2 linked regions of the Cricetulus griseus genome follow. The protein of the gene in region 1 interacts with the protein of each later gene in a pairwise test. Links are inferred from orthologs where the notes say so. Each region holds a gene or a part of one and is shown on either strand. Other genes may lie near its edges.

Evidence for each region.
Region 2: the proteins of Amot (region 1) and Ptpa interact in binary tests that used the Homo sapiens proteins (3 or more experiments, as listed by UniProt). The two-hybrid records come from large-scale screens. The link is inferred for Cricetulus griseus from reciprocal best matches to the Homo sapiens genes AMOT and PTPA.

The regions. Positions count from the first base shown.
Region 1 is NC_048604.1:35,457,605-35,461,421, reverse strand, and holds part of Amot (angiomotin), read right to left. Parts: intron 3,469-3,817; coding exon 3,018-3,468; intron 1-3,017.
Region 2 is NC_048599.1:142,100,853-142,104,669, forward strand, and holds part of Ptpa (serine/threonine-protein phosphatase 2A activator), read left to right. Parts: intron 1-156; coding exon 157-282; intron 283-3,817. UniProt on the Homo sapiens protein: PPIases accelerate the folding of proteins. It catalyzes the cis-trans isomerization of proline imidic peptide bonds in oligopeptides. Acts as a regulatory subunit for serine/threonine-protein phosphatase 2A (PP2A).

The sequences.
Region 1 (3,817 bases):
GCATTCCCAGAATGACCAGGAGTCTAATTTGGCTGGCCACTGTGTGGTAGCCACAGGGAAGCTAGAGGGATATGGCTGCGAAGATAACTGAAGTCAGGCCATAAAATGGCTTTAAATGCCAGGCATTTGGACTTTATCCCATAGGCACTATAGTCAGTGGGAAACTAGTGCTGATTTTTTAACTGAAAGTCATGATTTGTGTTGTTTTATGACACTTCTCTGCAAATCTGATAAAAGGAGAAGAAAGCCAAAGGTTCCTGTCCAGAATTAGCCAGAATCAGGAAGAAAACAAGAAATCAGACTCCAGAGGTTTTCTGTGACCAGTACAGCTCCAGTGCACGTGTAATGACCTCGGCGATTATTTGCATATAATTTGTATAAGACAAATAAACCCCATGGCCTATTAAGCAATTTTCAAATTAAGTCTTCCTCCTGTAACCACCCTGCATTTCTTCTCAGTTTGCCACTCTTCTTGAACAAAGCTCAGGGTGTGTTAGGGGGTGAAATAAACAAGCGCCCAATGGAGGATGGGGGAGGAGACACAGCGCAGTTACAATCAACTCCCATTCCAGCTGCCCCCATCTTCAAAATCCTGCTGGAGACAGGACTGCCTGCAAACAAATGAGGCTTACAGCACTGAAAAGAGCAGACTTGAGAGTGTTGTTCTCCTTGCAGATGGCACCCAGATAGCAGCACAGAAGGTGAAAACTGGTGAATGGCATTTAGAGACAAGATCTGCAGGGCTTGTGCCTGATGAGGCTTTTGCATGAAATTCAAGTGCTGGAGAGGAGAAAAATAAACATTTCCATTTGAAAGAGCAGGCTTGGTGTTGGTCTGCAAGAGTCAGCCAAGAGCAAGTGAGGGAGGCTTCCTGCTTACAGCCCAGAAGCCTCACCTAGACGACAGTCCCTTTTCTCCAAGTGCACAGCCTGCTTGGGAAGGATCTGGTGTTGCTAATCCTTCCCCTCTCCCTTGTGGAGATACTGTCCTCTTGCAAAGAGCCATGCAACAAGGCCTTCTCAGAAAGGCCAATAAAGGCAGATTCACTGACTCGGTGTGGGTGATGGAAGAGGTGAAACAGAGGGAGAGTGGCAGGGGTGGGGGTGGGGTGGGTTGGGAGTTAGGGCTTGCTAATTCTACTTTCTGTCCTCAGGAGCCTCCAGTGCTCGCTTGCTCTCCCGCTCTCTCTCTCTCTCTCTCTCTCACTCTCTCTCTCTCTCTCTCTCTCTCTCTCTCTCTCTCGTCTCTCCCTTTTTCTTTTTCTTTCTGTCTGTCCTCCTTTCTTCCTCTGTTTCTTTTTCTCCTTCCTTCCCTTCCCCCTTCCCCCTTCCCCCTTCCTCCTACCTTCCTTCTTTCTAGCTCTACCATCTACTTTCATTTTCTTCTCCCCTCCTGTCACCTTTTGTGAACCCCAGCATTGGCTTGGAACTGTTTCTGCAGACGCGCAAGCCATAATTGTCATTTTCTGACATACATCTGCACAAGGACCAAACAATAAACAAAATTCCGATTTTGCTCCCTGCACTAGTCACCCAACCCAGCTCCAAGTGTCACCAGAGATCATTGACAAAGAAGATCTGAGCTCAGTAACCAGTGATTATGTCAAAGATGAGGCCAGGCCAACCCAAATTAAAAGTTAGGGGAGGTCTAATCAGCTAAACAGGGTTTCTAGTCAATACACAAAATTCATGTACATGTACACCATTAATGCAATAAGGGGTATTTTCAAACTGACAAGAAAACATAAAATCAAGACAAAGTAATAGCTCTCAATCCATCATAACCTTCAACTGGATTTGAGGAAATTGAGAAAGGGGGCATTTTTTTTTTCACTATATAAAAACCACTTAACTATGGAAAATTAGCCCTCTTCTCTTTTAGGTAAAAGATCTGGTGTTGGCAAGTTCTCAGCTTCATGCAGGCCCCTGAAATTTCCACTCTTATGTCTTAGGGACAGAGTAGGGCAACTGTCCTTCCCTCCCCGCCTTCAGCCTCGAACTTCCTTAACAGTTTGCAAGGAGATCATGCCACATGAACTCTGCATGGCCAAAAGCTACAAAGAAGCTAACAAATGCATAATTCTATTTACTAATAGCCACTAAGGCAAGAACTGAGATTTGGGCTTTGAGGCCCTCAAAAACTAAAGTCCCAGCTACAGCAGACAGTGGGGGTAAGGGGAAGAAGAAGGAATGGGAATTTGGGACACACATTCCTTTTTCTATTTCCTCTGCCTAGGGCTGTCACCTGTCACCCAGCTGTGGTGCTAAATCCCTTTTGTGCACCCCCCCCCAGACACACACACACACACACAGACACACACACACCAGAGAAGGAGCAGATGTTGAAGTGGATCTGTGGAGAAAGACCAAAGCAAACGTGGGGAAGAGGGCTAGTGTCAAAGAATTATGAAGAAAACTACCACAAGGAAGAACACTGTCAGTCTCTTCCTGAACCATACAAAATCTCAGCTGGTGGGATTTTTTTCTCGATTCAAAATCATATGGGGAAAATATAAACAAGACAAAAAGCGTTTAAATGCTGGCGGGCTTTCCATGAGCACAGACCTACTAATACTCATTATTAAGAAGTATATCTGCTGACTTTTTGACTAGGACAATGAACTAAGTTTTCTTAAGAGTTATAGAGTTTGGAACATCTGTAGTATTTTTCTTTTAGTATAAATGTAACATGTTACTTCTCTTAAAGAAAGGGGGAGACAAAAGACGGAAGTGAGAGTGACCCTGATGAAAGTACATGATATGCATGTGTGAAAATTTTATCATGAAATCCATTATTTTGTATCATTAATGTATGATAATAAAAACAGTAAAAGGCAGTTATCTTAGGCAGATAAAGCTTTTTTTCTAAAGTTTGACCAACATCAAAAAAAGAATGTCAAAGATCTACCCGTAAGAGATAGTAAGCACACACAGATGAAACATTTTTTAACGGGTATTTAACAACTCCCACTAGAATGATTCAAAGAAGTCTCTATTGACCCTTAAGGGGAGCCGTACCTTCTGTAGTCTCGCCACCTTCTCATAGCATGCATCCAACTCCTGCCGCAAGTTCCGATTCTCATCAGAGAGGATCTCAACCATCTGCTGAGCTCTAGAGACGATGGCAAAAGGATCAGCTGGCATGGGCTGATAAGAAGCAGACTGCTGAGCCCGAGGCATAGCTGAGTAGGCTTCTCCTGGCTGCTGCTGTGCTGTTGGAGGAGGCAACGTGGACTGGGAGAGACGATAGTGGTCCCCCTGGTGACTCTGATTAGGAAGAAAATGCTGCTGCTGCCTTGGCAGGTGAGTAGAATGGTCACCTTGGTTTGAGACCAAGGCGTGTTGAGCAGGAGACAATCTGGTAGATGGTGGAGACTGCAGCAAGGAACTCCCAGATGTAGAGGAAGATGTCGGGCTGTGAGGCTGAGAATTCCTTGCTGCCAAAGACAGCGAGATGTCCTGTGTTGTCCTGAGAAAACACAGAAGGCAAGCTCTGGTTAAGTTTGCTCCCAAGGCACATGAAATAACACAAGGAGATATCCCCCAAATTCAGAGAAGTGAGAAGGAAGAAGAATTAGATCCCCATGAAAGAACTCTAGAGTTCATTCTTACCGAGACATTTTGTGACTCTGTCCAACAGCTACTACTGCTCACTAGCTATGATCCCCTTGGAGATGAAACCAGATAACCTCTGAGGTAAGTATGAAAACCTTAAGATGGCTATCTCCACCTTCATTGCTCAGTCGTTTAAAATTCCTCTTGTACAAAGTAATGCTCATGGCATGACTGAAAACTGAACCTGTCTGTAAAAAACTCTA
Region 2 (3,817 bases), on another chromosome or scaffold:
GCTCCCTGACCATCCCTTATATTGAGGACAGTTGGGAATGAGGGTGACAGCTAGGCCAGCCTAGGGGGGCTACCTTCCACAGCAACTGAGATTTCCTTCTGTGGCTCCAACCGGGCCGCCAGTCACTGATGTGGTTCTTCTGTCTCACCTTCACAGGCCATTGAGAAGCTGGTGGCTCTTCTTAATACGCTGGATAGGTGGATTGATGAAACCCCGCCGGTAGACCAGCCTTCCCGGTTTGGGAACAAGGCCTATAGGACCTGGTATGCCAAACTTGATCAGGTGAGACTGTCAGAGCACAGGCTGGGCCAGGCCAGTGGGAGGACTACTATGGCTCCATATGGGTCAAGGTCTGTGTTCAAAGCAAGCCTGTCTAGCTCCCAAGCATAAAATCGGGTAATTTGTTAGAATGGCAGTTTTATTTACCTAAATTACAAAATCATCCTCTGTCCCAGCCTGTCTTCTGGGAACTGCAGGTGTGGCTACACCTGTATGAGGCTGCTTATTAAGTCATTTTATTAGCAGCAGATTGGAAATGACTCAGGTATACATCATAAGAGGACAGGTTAACTATACTAGACCGTCCATACTGTAAAGTACTGTGCAGCTCTGAAAAGGAATAAGGAAGCCAGGTGGTAGTAACACACACCTTTAATTCCATTACTTGGAAGGCAGAGGCAATTGGAAAAAACTCCCTACCAAAAGAAAAAGGAAAAGTTGGGCAGGGGCATACACCCTTGAATCTTGGGTGGCAGAAGCAAGTGGATTCTGTAAATTTGAGACCAGCCTGATCTATACAAGTTCCAAGCCAGCCACAGTTACATAGTGAGACCCTAATCTTTAAAAAACCAAAACAAAGCCGGGTGGTGATGGTGCAGGCCTTTAATCCTAGCACTGGGGAGGCAGAGGCAGGCAGATCTCTGAGTTCGAGGCCAGCCTGGTCTACAGAGCGAGCTCCAGGACAGGCTCCGAAGCTCCAGAGAAACCTGTCTCAAACCCTGTCCCCCCAAAACAAAACAAAACAAAACTTAGCTTCTTACATCTGGAATTTACACGTGATCTTCTAGGGTCCAAAGGGTTTGGGCATCCTTGTGTCTCCAACTCTTCTGTCTGCAGCACACATAGCTTGTCTTGTATGTAGGCTCAAGTTGGCTCTACTCCACTCCTTGCACCTTGCTTGCACTTGCACTGTCCTGTGGTTTCCACTGCAATGAAGGCTGCACCATCACTAACAGCCCCCACACTCCAGCCTTGTCTTAGGGACTCTGACCTTGATGTCAAGCCTCAGTTTCTCTCTTCTATGACTTCTCATACCTTCAAAATCATTCCAGGTGGAGACTTTTACACATTACTCAGCTCAGCTTCCAGCTAGAGATGCAGCCTTGCCCAGACCACAGCTTGTCTACACAGTTTGTCTGGTGAAGTATTTCCCAGAACAGTTCTCAATGATGCTGATCTCATATCAACCACAATCAATTTTTCAGCACCGGATGACCAGAAACCATCACATGAATAGCCTCTGTAGAATCTGCTTCTTTGTGAAACTTCACAAGCCGGGCTTCCACTGTCTGCATTTTTCTCAACATTCTTCCTACAGAACAGCCTATTAAGCTCTGAGGACTCGATGTCTTTTCCAGCTCAATGTTCCTAACACTTCCACAGTCTTCCAATAAAACATGGTCATTTCCATTGATTCAACATCCATTCCTGGTACCAGTTTCTGTTCTTTTGGTCATGGTGTATATTGACAGTAACAGAGAAGAAGCAAACTGAAATAATTGGAAATTGTTTTAATCCAAAGCCAGAATTCATTCTCCTTTTTTTTTTTAAAATGAAATTCAGGTTGATAACTCAAATTGCAGTTTTTGTTTTTTATTTTATTTATTTTTTTGTTTTTTGTTTTTTCAAGACAGGGTTTCTCTGTGGCTTTGGAGGCTGTCCTGGAACTAGCTCTTGTAGACCAGGCTGGTCTCGAACTCACAGAGTTCACCTGCCTCTGCTTCCCGAGTGCTGGGATTAAAGGTGTGCGCCACCAATGCCCAGCTAAATTGCAGTTTTTAAAATCAGGTATTCTCTGTGGCTGGAGAGATGGTTCTGCATTAAGAGCATGTTGTTAACTATTTTTGAGACAGAGCCTTTCTAGTTAATCTGGGCTGTCCTGGAACTTGCTTTGTAGCAGGCTGGCCTCAAACTCAAACAGATCCTCCTTTGTCTGCCTACTGAGCGCTGGGATTAAAGGCTACTGTTGCAGAGAACCTGTGTTCAGTTCCCTAGCACCTACACTGGGTTGTTGTGGGAATTTATTCTGCCAAAAACTTTGGAGTAGCAGCCTTAGGGCATGGCTTCTTGTCTGTAGATGTTATCTCTCTGTCTCTCTCTCTCTCTCTCTCTCTCTCTCTCTCTCTCTCTCTCTCTCTCTCTCTCTCTTGGTTTTTCGAGACAGGGTTTCTCTGTGTAGCTTTGGATCCTATCCTGGCTTTCAATGTTATCTCTTAAAAGGAGAGAGATAGGAGTTCTCTCTTGAGTTGAGAATACTGGGTCAGGCAGCTTGAAGCAGCATGTGGCCAGTTCCTGTTTCCCTTGGGGAGAAGGACTTTGCAACTGGTTATCCTTGTTCTGTATCCATGAGTCTGTTTTCCCCATAGCATATCTCTCTCTGTCTCTGTCTCTGTCTCTGTCTGTCTCTCTCTATACATACATACATACATACATACATACATACATACATACATACATGCCACAGAGAAACCCTGCCTCGAAAACACACACACACACACACACACACACACACACACTTACTTTTGATTCTAGTAACACTGGGTTGCTCACGACTACCCGCAACTGCAGTTTTAGTGTATCCAACTCCCCCTTCTGGACTCCAAGGGCACTGCATGCATGTGATATCCATAAATGCACTCAAGGCAAACACACACAGTGCAATCTAGAGATACATTAACTTGATTTATGCTGAGGAGTGACAACAGGGACATTAGAGGTCTTTATTTTCTGTAGTTTTCTTTGATTTTGATTTTGTTTTTGTTTTTTTTTTTGTGTGTGTGTGTAATGCTGGCTATCCTAGAACTCACTTTGTAGACCAGGCTGGCCTTGAATTCCCAGAGATCTGCCTGCCTCTGCCTCTCCAGTGCTGGGATTAAAGGTGTGCATTGCCTCCACCTGGCAAGCCATTATATTTCTATTAGAGAACACTGTGCAGAGAAAGCTCTGCAGTTGCCAGCATGTGAGCCTGGGTGTGTCAGTCAGGGCTCATTGGTATTGTGTGGTGTGGTGGCATGCATGACAGCACTCACAGTGCCCAGGTGCATGCCGTGTGCTCAGAACCAAGGCCGAAGTGGCGTGTGTTGCAGCAGAGGAGAGCATTGCCAGCAACACCTTAGACTCAAAAATGCAGTTGATCTTTATTTTTATTTTTTATTTTTCCTCCGAGACCGGGTTTCTCTGTGTAGCTTTGGAGCCTATCCTGGCACTCACTCTGGAGACCAGGCTGGCCTCGAACTCAGATCCGCCTGCCTCTGCCTCCTGAGTGCTGGGATTAAAAGCGTGCTCCACCAACACCCGGCCTGCAGTTGATTTTTTATTAACTCTGACTGTTGATGCTGTTGCCACCCTGACATTCAGCTACCTCTACCCACAGTTTCAGGAGCTGGGTTTTCAGCTTGTCTGGGTTACAGACTCAGATGAGCAGACAAAGAGCCTGAGCCCACTGTATTGATGTACAGATCTTGTTTCCTTTGAGTTGGGAATGGGAGGAATGGAAGTTAGAAATGCATGTTTGTGCTGCTCATATTTGCAGAAGAAA